Linked DNA regions of Schizosaccharomyces pombe. The protein of the gene in region 2 purifies or fractionates together with the protein of the main gene of each other region. This does not show direct contact. Each region holds a gene or a part of one and is shown on either strand. Other genes may lie near its edges.

Region 1 (6,851 bases), 1.4 Mb from region 2:
AAGAAAGTCACTTGGTTGGCTGATACGGAGGACAAAACTCCTGTCGACCTTGTTGATTTTGACTATCTTATTACCAAGGACAAACTTGAAGAAGGAGAAAACTATAAGGACTTCCTAACTCCTCAAACTGAATTCCACTCTCCCGTCTTTGCTGACGTTGGAATCAAGAATTTAAAGAAGGGTGATATAATTCAAGTTGAGCGTAAAGGTTATTACATTGTTGATGTTCCATTTGATGGTACGCAGGCTGTTCTCTTCAACATTCCAGACGGTAAGACTGTAAATCGTTACGGCGTTAAAAATTAGAATCGAGCATATTATCCAGTCGTAATATAAATTTTGTTACCTCTATTGTTTTTATAATATTTTTCTTCCATATGATTTGTAAAGTCGTGTTTGGTTGATTGTATCTGAGACTAAACTCCGAATACTAAATATTTATAAGTTTAACCGTTCAAACCGAAATTTCTCTTACTACAGATTTAAAGTATAGAAGTCTACTAAAATATTTGCACATAAATTTCATTCATATCATAATGTTGTCTTAAAACCTTCTATAAAGTTAAAGAATTCTATGCTAATAAAATTTATTATCACACCACTAAAATACAATTGGGCTAGTTAATCTGAAGTTTGCCCATCGGCTGAACGATGTGATCGTGCTTGCGATTGAGTTCTTTCGACCTTAAGGGTTTACCACGTTTTCCACCCCTACCGCGGATAGATTGTGTACCATTGGTAGAGTGGTGGTTACCTTTGCTAAACTTACTCTTCGATTTATGGATTAATGATTCAGGGGGAGGGACTTGATGTAGTGAAAAAGGCTTTGGATGATGCTCTCTTTTGTTCCAAACACTAGAAGATGGAGGGGATGGAGGTGATGGAAAAGTTGAAGTGGGTTTCGTTACCAAACGAGAGTCAGTACCTTGAGAAACATTATTTGCACTAACATTGGTTTTTCTATTCTTTCCGGCACGGGTATTTACAACGAACTGAGGATTTGTAACGTTTAAAACCATTGAAACTTCAACTTGCATACCATGATATGGCGAACACCTTCCATCTAGAGTAGTTCCGCTCATAAAAGGCAAGTCAAAGACGACATCCAAATGATGCAACATAATACCCACGACAGTTCCGTATGCTGCAATTGGAACTTTACCAGAGTCCTGAACATAAACAACACGATCGCCTAAAGCAAATTCTTGACTATGCAAAATTCCACGTGTTTGTGAAGGTTTTAATAAGGCATACCGAGGGACGCCAAAAACTTTCTTCGGAACCTGATAGGTAGAATCAATTGTGCTTGCTTTTTCCTCAATTAGCTTTATAATGTCCGAGTCTAAAGCATCTTCATCTAAAGATACTCTAGTAAGAGAGTTAATCCCTTTCTCTTTGATCCAATGTTTGACCGCAGCCAATTGTTGGGTATCATCTTTAGGGAAGCAATCCTTGACCGTTAAATTATCCTTGGTAGCATGTGTTGTTAAAATATTAAATAATTGAGGGAACGTATTTATGTACTCTTTAACAAGGGCAACGGTTTTGTTCGAGAATTCCCAACCTTTAGTGCTTTTCCGGGAAAATCCTAACACTTTTTGATTTCTGGCATCAAATTTTAAATTTAATCCAATATTTTCTCTTTTAGTACCATTGCTAATTAAGAAGCTAGATGTTATTTTACTTAAAAGTAGCGGATGTATGTTAAGCAACTTCGCAACGATATAAGAAGGATAATATTTCTCTTTTGACTTGCTATCGTTAACAAGAACACGACCCCATTGGGCATCCAACCCAGGGGCGGTTGATAACCAAATAATGAGCTTGTTGTCCTTGCATCCTGTAATTTGTGCAGGTCGCCCATAATTATACTCTCCGAGATGAAAAGCCTTCGTTCCTGGAGGATATTCCACCTCTACTGGCGGAGCTTCTCTCTCGGTAAATCTTGGATCATCTATAGCAATCTTTTCGACCACTAATTGGGCTGGATAATCCTCAAGGACAGATTCGTTAAAAATCTTAACAAGAGCACCTTCTCTGGTATACTCCAATCCTTTGATAGGACGTACTTGAAGCAATAAGGAAATATCACCAAAAAGAACGCCAAATCGTTTACTATATTCTCTAATTTTATGGGAACATTTACGGCCCCATTGGCTTTTTTCAATTTCTGCCAAATCCCTTTTCTCAATGGTACTGTTTGAAGCTAAATACATGTAACTTTCGTCCATAGCACTCTCCACATATGCTTCACGTAAATAAGGCCAGTCTACAAAAATTCGTTTTCCGACATATTGCATCGCAATTTGTTCCGACGTTAAAGCAGATTTGACGTCTTCAACATTGACGATTACGGAGGGATTCCTGCTTTCATTACCAAAAACATTGATACCATGATACACTAATTCTGCTTTATGCTTCAAAGTGTGAAAGGAAGGAAAACCCACCATTCCAAAAGCACCTAAGAAAACGCCAGGGCAAAGACCAACCAAATATTCTTTACCTTCCATCGAAGGTAGAGAGTAAGGTTTTTGAATACAGCGGGTAACCAAATCCGGAAAAAGTGAAGGTAATGAAGAAGGATAAAACGATGTATAATCCTCCGCTAAAGAGAAGACCGTTGGGGCATTGAAGGAATTTCTTTTTCGTTCCTCTTCAGTCAAAAATTTATCCTTGGATGCTAGTGCGTCTATAAGACGGGTTTCGTCAATAAAAGGAATTATAACCACAGCTTCCCAACTAGCTGTTTTTCCATTTTGATCCAAAGCAAAATTTTCTGGATAAAAATCAATAATTGGAGATTCGCTGTTAACCATTAAATCGCGGAAACAAGGGGGTACTAATGCCTGACTTCTTGCAGGCAAAACGGCCATGAGCTGCTCAAAAGGACGGAAGGGTGTACCCATTTTGAAATCAATCTTTACATCAAGGCCCTTTAAAACATCTGAAATCTTTGGTGCAAAATGGTAGTTGTAATACCAACCCCAAGACTGACATCCACGGTAATAATAGAAAAGTACCCATTGTAAACCTTCAACATAACGTTCAGCCATTGCTTTTAAAGCTTCTTCATCATAATAACTAAAACCAACCTTGCTTCGATAATAATCATCCTTCCATTGGATAAAATCTTTTTCGACGTTTTTTTCTTTTAAAGCTTGTTCTTCGTTAAGCAAAGGAATGTTATCATACTTTTGAAGTACACGTTCGATTTCGTCCTGCTCAATTTCATCTTCGTCTTCATCATTAAATTCAAGATCTCTAAATGTAATCCTTAATAGATGAGTGCCGTCTACCTTTATAATTTTGGAAAATGACAGATGAAGATCATTACATAAACGTCGTAGAAAGCGCTGATCAACAGAAGAAATGTTTGCACTAAAATCAATGAACGGCTCACGAGAAGACAAAAACTTTTTAATCTGTAAGAAATAATTTTTCTGCTCCCCTGTCATGGCTTTAATATCATTTGTTGATTCAGTAATATATTTGAGAAAGTCAAAAGATGGTTTGTCAGAGTTCCCATTGTTTTTTGTCTCAGAAACTTCAGCTTTAAATATCTCTTTCTCAAAATTCTCAAGTTCGAGGAGTATAAGTTCCAATCTAGCCATATTGATTACTCCCTTTTCATTAATATATCCCCCAGCAGAAGGCATAACTTTTTTGTATATACTAAACATCAAAGCTAACGCACCCTCATTAATATGAAGCCCAGGCAAATGGGGAAGGAAGTCATTTCCGACAAAAAAAGCTAAAAGAATAAAGTCGTCAAGGATTTTTTCGAGATCATACTTAAAAGTGAATGTAGATCGGCATTCTTGAAATTCAAATTCAAGATATTCTCTTAATAAACTTAAATGCAATAAATAAAATTTTTGGTGAGCCAATTCCTTAGAACGGTTTCTACTTGCCGGACCAAAAGTAACCTCCTCACGTAATAGACAAAAATGTGGATCATGAGATAAAAGACCTAGCATAATTAAATCAGCATCCAAACCATAAAGGCAATGGCGAGTGTTAGGATTATAGCTAGGTTGAGCCTTTTGGGTTCGAATATATTCCATAATTTTATGCTCACCCTCACCGGGGCAATCGTGGCCAGAGAAAATAACCTCAATGTTCTGCCACTGGGAATCGTTCGTAACTTTTTTGTGAATAAAATAGTATAACTGTCGTGAAACCCTCTCCATAAAAGTTGTACCTGGCGTTATACAGTTACTGTCAAATTGCTCCTCGGGAAAATCCTCCCCATTACGTTCTGCTTTTAAACGCGCATCGTGGGCATCTTTAGCAGTTCTGAATCGGCGACTGCGCTGTTGATTCATTTTCGCACGTGGGGCACATCCATCTACTGCCATATATAGAAGCTTTTTGGGTTTAATTTTTTCAAATAAATGCTCAATATAATTAAAAATGGCTATATACATTTCCTCTTCTGGAAGTGGTGGTGAGGAATGATCATCATTCTTATGCGTACAGTTATGAAGAATACCATTCATATCTAGATAAAGATTATCAAATCTATTTCAATTAGCTCCATACGTTTCAAACGATGATTTAAATTGACATACTCGGGAATGCGATCGTTTTCAATCAGCTGACTGCACAGCGGATACCTTTCGCTCATCCATCGAAAAAACTAATTGTTAAAAACTTATACAAAATATCGATAACAACCTTTGGAATTCCCATACTGAACGAACTTTCTCATTAACAGTTAAATAGGAATAAATTTAGAAAGTATTGTTGTTAGTAGAGAACAAATGTCAACATATGCGGTGCTTGCACGTATCGATAGGCCCCAGGTTAGTGAAGTTTAAGGAGTTAGTTATATAGTACATGAAATATTGAAAATGTGTAGATCCTCTTTGATTTAATATCATACTAACAGAAGCCTTTTTAACGATATCATTGTGAGTAAAGATATTATCATATTATCATTTTTTTCAACAAAAATACAAATGGCAAAATAGTTAGTCTTTGAGACTAGCTGAGTCTAAAATAGAGCAAGTTCTTAAACATTGAGGCGAAGGAAGGAGTTTAGTTGTTTGAAAAACAAATCAAACACATTTATCAAGAAATACGTTTCGACTAATTGAAACTGCAGCAGTAGTAGATGATTAAAAAACATTGGCAAATTTTATAATTAACGAGACATTTACCTTTATAATAATGTGTCTAGGGTATATCAATACAATCACTGTAAGTTGCTTGCAATACTTATCGATTACGGTACAAAGATTATTCATTCATAATATATTTGATGATAAACTATTAATTGAGCTCTTGCAAATTGAAAGTCTTACACAGCAAAACTTAGTAAATAATTAATAAAATTGTTGAAACTTCATATATGTATATAATAACATGGACTAATTTACCATGTAACCAAAAAAGTGATTCGAAACAACGTTCAAAAAGAAAACTTAAATAGTAGTTTTCCATTAGGATAACGTCTTCCTTAGCACGTTGAGGCTAATAATAGTAAGGTGGAGTGAAATAGCTCCGGTCAATTTTCAAGAAAATAAAATAAGCCATATGAAAAACGACCATGTGTTCGAATTTCTTCTCATAATACTAAGATATCAAAAAAAAAAAAAAAAAAATTCGTGAAAAACAACTGAAGAAGGGCATTCATATTTTTAAAGAGTAATAGAGAGAGAACTTTCGACTGCTTTTAAAATCTTTGGTTGCTAAATCGTATGCATAAATAAACATATGCAAGGATTGATATATTTAAAAAAGTGATTGTTTTAACAACTCAAAAACTGGAATGCAAAAAAAAATAAAAATATAATACCATTTAGTTGTAATAGGAATTTACGGACGGTATCACCTCTAGCGATTAACGAACAAAATAAAACCAAAATTAAAATTTTCCAATCAATCTAAAAAACTCCTCCCTAGTTTTATGGCTTCTCTGAAATATACCAGTAAGACTACTAGTAACAGTACTGCTACCCGGTTTTTCAACACCGCGCATAACCATGCACATATGAGTAGCTTCCATAACGACTGCAACTCCCTGAGGTTTTAAGACAGCTTGAATAGCTTGGGCAACTTGTTTGGTAAGACGCTCCTGCACCTGTAGGCGACGCGAAAACATATTGGCTATACGTGCGAGCTTTGAAAGTCCCAATACACGCTTACGAGGAATATAACCAATATGAATCTACAATAATGTTAGTTTAATACGCTGAGTTTGTGAAAGAGGGTTAAACATAATTGCATAGCCCAATCACGTGAATGCAATGGATAAAATCCACTTCTAAATGAAACCTACTTTTCCAATAAAAGGAACCAAATGATGCTCGCACAAACTGAATACATCAATATCTCTAACAATGACCATTTCTTCGTGATCTTCTTGAAATACTGCCTCATTGATCACTTCGGTCAAATTTTGCTCGTATCCTTTGGTAAAGTAAAGCATTGCCTTGGCATACCTCTCAGGTGTTCCCAAAAGGCCTTGTCTCTCAGGATCTTCTCCCAAACATTCCAAAATTGTTGAAATAGCATTGGAAATTTTTTTTACTTTTTCTTCCTCAGCAGTATCTATTCTACGTTGTGTTCCTTGACCTAATTGGTATTAGAATACTTAAATGAGTATAAAATATGCTTTCATTACTTACAAGGCCAAGAAAGCCCGTCTAAATCAATAGTTGGTGTAGATGCGCCAGAAAGTGAGGCTGGTTGCATCCTCAAAGGAGAATCTATATAATCCTTTTTTCCAGGCTCCATGAGAAATAAATTTTTAATAAATGAAATTAAGATTGCAATGGATAAGTAAACCGCTGCAAATGTTTTACGCTAACCGACAAAAATACTGTCACACATCTTGGTTCATGCAA
Region 2 (5,548 bases):
AATAAGGATATTGTGAAAACTGTCTATCAAAAAGATAAGTTGAAAAGTTGAAAACGGGATTGCCTCCTTTTCCTTTGGTTCGTTCTTTACTGATATTATTAAAACGCTTCCCCCTTTTCAACCTCTCCTTAGTATAAATATTAGAGGACGGAGTAGACTGCCCCGAGCTAATTATTCGAAAGTAACGCTTTTTTTCAGAATTGTAATAATAACCGGGAATATGAAATGGTAGTCCGCTCATAACCCAGGGATTGATGGTAAGCAAAAGAAATTAAAAACAAAAAAGGTTTTGTTAAAATGTTGTCGTTATACCATTTCTCTGTTGTATGTAGCCAAATACTTAGGTATTCAAAAGACAACACAACTATATAAATTAATAAAAAAAAGCACCAGTGTGCGGCAAACGGTATAATAAGGTAACACGATAAAATTCCTTATTTGTTAACTTATAGTTAATAGCTTAAATGCCCCCTATAAGGAAAAAATGCCGTAAAAGACAAAATTACTAGTGCTTGCAGCTAAGCTTATTGTCGCTCATAAGCTAGTTTCAGAGATTCCTCCATTTTCTATGTATTGAGAAAAATATCGACTTCTCTTAACAGTGCTTGGAGCGTCGTAATTAAAAATTCGTGCTTCGACTTCTGTATACTAGAGTTACCAATTAGCACAAATTCCCTCACGTTTTTAAGAACAATGCGCACAACGGAGGAGAACAGCTCAGGAGTTAATGTGCCGCTGTTGTTAAATACTGATAATGTCATAGTCCGAAGACGTGAAGTAGCTCGCGATAATAGTTGAAGACGAGAAAATGATAGCTGTTCCTCTTTTATGATTAACTTGGAAAGAACATGAATAAATGCTAAAAGATGAATTGAAGAACAATCATCTAGTGAATAATCAGGCACATCTTGTAATGACCGGAATGCTTCAATAGAGGGATCCTTCGTGAAGCAAATTAACGCCTCTTTATTCTTAGAAATGCGAACCAATTCCAAAACTTTTTTCGATACTGCAAATGACTCAGATTCTTCAAAATTAGAAGAGGATGTTGGACTTTGATCGCTAGTTTCTAATCGCTCAATCATTAAGAGTTTTTCAAGCTTTTGGTTAATGTTTCCTATGCGGTTTGAAAAATCGCACAACTGCCTATTACTGCTTCTATAAGTGGATGTTAAGTTTTCCAAGTCGTTTGCCAAAAATCCAGTTTCTAGGAATCCTACCTCAAGAAGAAAAGGTTTTGAATGTATCAATTTGAAAAGATCAGAAATTTCATCGGTTGCAGCTTCTGAAATAGTCTGCTCCAACAATTTCATGTAAGAGTTCTTAACAACCAATTCCACTCGACTATGCAAGCTTTCAAATTTTGCGTGGATTCTACTTTTCATGACTGAAGAGATATTTTCTCTAACCTCATTAGGATTTTGAGGAACGTATTGATTGAAGAATGGCATGGAGGGATAACAAACTGATCCCAAAGACTCTGTAAGATTTTGTGTTGTGGAATCATCCTTAGATTTTGCACAATTTTTTAAATCTTGACTCAAAGCCCTTAGCGTGTTATTAGACTTTAATCCCGAAGTTAATGATGCCCTAGCTAAAATTCGCTTGTCAGAATTAGGATATTCCAAAGAAGTGCCCTCGTCAAATTTGGAATCGCTTTCTATGCAGAACTGAAAATATCCAGAACTTAGTGCCAAAATTAGTTCAAGTTTGGAACTATCACAGCCAATTAAGGTGACAAAAACAATGCTATGATCCACCACCTCATTCGATATTACTTTATTAATATAACCAGAATCTCCAAAACGCTTGCCTTTGGAAACAGCAGAGATCAAAGCTGCAGTGTTAGATAATACACCCACATTGGATAAATCAGAAGGTGAATAAATAAAGATATCCAAAAGCTGATTCCTTTTTGCAACAATCATGTTTGAATTATTGAAAGTAAGTAATTGCTGAATAGGTGATTTCTCTTTTTCATTTGAAAACTCAATTTCTTGAGTAAAAGCACATAACCCAAAATCAAATAAACCTAATATAGTATTATTAGCATAGGAGACACAAATAACTTTATCAATGATATCATTATTGTTCGGTGGAGATGAAAGAAAAGAAATAGAATTTGCTGTACTCGGAAGCTGAAGGCTCATTGTCGCGATAGCCGCCCAGTTACCTCGGTGTGAAGGATTAGTAGAAAATAAATTAGAAACTGGAAATGAATAGAAAAAAATTTGAGAATTCACTAATATTGCAACAACAGAACGGTCAGAAGAGATGGTGTATGAGTTAATCGGCCCAGGTAAATCAACCTTGGCAGCTTGTAATCCATTAAAATCTTTTGCATAAACTTTAGGGCTAATATTATTGGAACGAATATTTGATATATCCACAATATATAAAGAATTCTTTACAATCATAGAAAACATATTTGAAGAATTAGGAATCCAATCACAAATACCATAATTGGCACGACGGATGGTAAACAAAAGTGAAACTGAAATTTCAGATCGCTTCTGTAAAATTTTCCAAACATACAGATTAGAGAGAGCGTCCATTACCAAAAGATGGGGCTTTGTATGCTTATTTTTGCCAAAATGTAGATTTTTAACATCAGATTGCGTATAAAGTATGAGCGATTGATCGGTATTGGCGTTCAGTACGCGAATATGGCAAGGATCCTGATCCACGTATGCAAAATATTCAGAAAATTTATCAATAACTTGTGAGTTAGCATAAAATGTACTATAAGGAAGATCACAAGATGCTATTTTATTGCAATCTTCTAAAAGCAAAGGAGATGCAACGAATGAAGCCGGAAAAGAAAAAACTCGACCCAAAGAGGGTTCAATACAGTAAACATCATGAGGCACATCAGGTGCGGGTGTTAAAATTTTCTTTTGCTCATCCTTCAATAGTTGAGTATGCATTTCAGAAGACGTTGAGGATTTGGTTGATGGAACTTCATCACCAGAATTTGGCTTCAATGAATTGACTGATTGTCCAGGAGAAAATTCTCGATAATCAGCGACAGTTCGAAATTCTTGATATTTAGTGGTTGACGATTTATTTTTCCCCTGGTCAACCCTTTCATGAAAGGCTTTATCATGCTGCGAACTGCTATTTGAAGACAAATCCTTTTCTTTCATTGAAGGAGGCTTCTCCGTATCTCTAGATTTGCCATTTTGTTGCAATGGACTTGTGGCTTCTAAAAACTCGAACGGGTTAAAATGATGAAAGAATGGCTTGCGAGTTTGTTCATAGGAACTGCTTTGGGGAATTTCATCACTAGATAAGTTTGAAAAATTATCTCGAACATCGAGAGAATCTTGATATAAATCTTTATTGTCTGAACGACTTACTAAGTCAAGTAGAATGCTATCATCAGGAGTTCCATGGTTCATTGAGGATTCCGATAATGCCGAAAAAAAAAGTTCATTACTTTCGTCAACGAACGATCCGAGATTTGTTTCATTAATTGATTTTTCTTTATAAAATGACATATTAACAACGATGGTTGTTTATGTAGTGCGCTTTGTTTGCACTCTACATGTACTGGGCTTTTGTTAGTGGGCAAGTTCGAATTTTCGCTAATATTAAAAATAAGGAGGAAGCAATTTAGGGAAATACATTCGTCAAACTTCATCTTAGAATTTAATACTCACATTTTTATTAAGTTTCTCAAAAGAATGTGAGAATGCAACTATTAATTATTTAAGAAACAGAAACATAAATAAAAGCATTCTCAAATTTTTAATAAAAAGCGAGCTTTAAATTTGACAAAATGACTCTAATATCAGTTTATTACTACGATAAAAAGGATGTATGATGGATATATCTAGGTATTTGCTCAATGCGGCCCATATACTTCATTAGGCTACTACATATTTCCAACCTTACAGTCTCACTACTACTATTGATTAAAAGTAATCAGCTAGCCACGTAAAAGAGAAGAAGTCATTTCAAAAAGAAGATGTCTCAACCCTATTTAATTTCTAAGTAAGATTGTAAGAAGACTCGGTTCATTATATTAACATGTTACTTAAACAGATGGATGGATCCTTTGTTTGGAATCTTCGTCGGTACTTATGGTTATTATTTGTATGAAAAAGAGCATCGTCCCCGAGGAAGAAGCTTACGAGAACTTGCATTGCGTAAATGGAATAAACAGGCAGTTTCACAACAATCCATGAAAAACTGAGGTCAGACATTCCGTAAAGGACTGTTCTAGGAGGCAAAGGGTGTCGAGCGAATGATGATTTTATATTTTTATTCATTGAATAACATTTCCTTTTGTACGTTTATACGCTACTAACAGTCTGTGACAATTTTTACTGCAATGTGATTTAATAAGTGTTTGTAAGAAATGAGTTTGTATAGTGAATTTGCACAAGGTGTATGCCAGATGGAAAATTGAAATATGAGAATGTACTGCATAATGAAATCCAAAGAACTCATGATATGCTCCGTTTAGCTTTTAACTGCGGTTTTTCCCCATCAACATAAATCCCCTTCCCTTTATACGGCTCGGGCTTTTTAAACGATCGAATTTTTGCTGCAAACTGTGTGACTTTTTGTCGATCAATTCCACGAAGTACCAAGCTGGTTGGCGTTGGATTCTCAACTTGTACATCAGTAGGGATAGAGACCAAAATGTCGTTTGCATAACCTATTTTTAAATGAATATTTCCATCGTTTAGAGAAGTCCGATACCCGATACCAACCAATTTGATAATAGATTGCCAGTACATAGTTACTCCCTTTACATTATTAGCTAGGATAGCCCTAGTAGTGCCCCACATTGCACGTTGCTTTTTAGTAGCTTGCTTTTCTATATTGGCATCCATTCCTACTTTTAGGATGTCATTAGTTTTCGAGAGATTGAGATAATTTGGAAATCTCATGTTAAGTGTTCCATGAGGTCCAGTAATCTGTAGTTGTTCCCCCTCCAAATCAAACTGGATATTTTTTGGAACAATGATTTCTTTTTTTCCAACGTATGATCTAGCAGCTGAACATGTCGTGAAGTTCATACCAAGACGAGCAATTCGAAAAGTTAAGGGCCTTGTTTTCAAGCAACTATCAATAGAAAACATAATTTTATAAATCAAAATAATTCAGTTTTCAAATATATTAGTAAAGGATGCTAGAAAAATTGACTTCGAAATTCGCTAATATCAAATTCTAATAAAAACACGTATTCTTTCTATTCGATTTTTTTTTTTGTGAGATAGCTTAAAATAAATTGTTCCTATTATTAGGGATTAAGACTGCCAAAAGTGTTTGCGGATTTTTAAAGTCAATGTTTGACGATGTGGATACTTAGTAGGTTCATCATGTAGGGTGGCAGCCATGTGGCACGTCAACCAAACTTGCGAAGAACCAACCTGTGGGATAAAAGCGAGAAAAGAAAAAAACCATGCCAAGCCAGGGAAACAATAAAAATAGTGAAAACATCACCCAAAACCCTATAGAGGGAGAACTCGGAAGCGTTATTGTGGAGCATTTAACCAAGCGCATTCGTAACTTTACGAAAAAGAAGGTAAGATCA

Evidence for each region.
Region 1: the proteins of eti1 (region 2) and exo2 purify together in Schizosaccharomyces pombe (affinity purification with western blotting; one study listed by BioGRID). This does not show direct contact.

What each region holds. Positions count from the first base shown.
Region 1 is NC_003424.3:1,776,390-1,783,240, reverse strand, and holds exo2 (exonuclease II Exo2), read right to left. Parts: upstream 4,752-6,851; 5' UTR 4,693-4,751; coding exon 4,678-4,692; exon of another isoform or gene 4,640-4,677; coding exon 4,572-4,639; exon of another isoform or gene 4,532-4,571; intron 4,522-4,531; coding exon 618-4,521; 3' UTR 501-617; downstream 1-500. Other genes in the region: gus1 (glutamate-tRNA ligase), read left to right, coding at 1-306; fol2 (GTP cyclohydrolase), read right to left, coding at 5,870-6,172, 6,284-6,579, 6,633-6,741. UniProt on the Schizosaccharomyces pombe protein: Multifunctional protein that exhibits several independent functions at different levels of the cellular processes. 5'-3' exonuclease component of the nonsense-mediated mRNA decay (NMD) which is a highly conserved mRNA degradation pathway, an RNA surveillance system whose role is to identify and rid cells of mRNA with premature termination codons and thus prevents accumulation of potentially harmful truncated proteins.
Region 2 is NC_003424.3:329,244-334,791, forward strand, and holds eti1 (protein eti1), read right to left. Parts: upstream 3,566-5,548; 5' UTR 3,501-3,565; coding exon 567-3,500; downstream 1-566. Other genes in the region: WD-repeat family protein wdr21, read right to left, coding at 1-241; nce101 (non-classical export protein 1), read left to right, coding at 3,971-3,996, 4,048-4,198; mrpl6 (mitochondrial 54S ribosomal protein uL6m), read right to left, coding at 4,452-5,093; cpn1 (caprin), read left to right, coding at 5,417-5,539.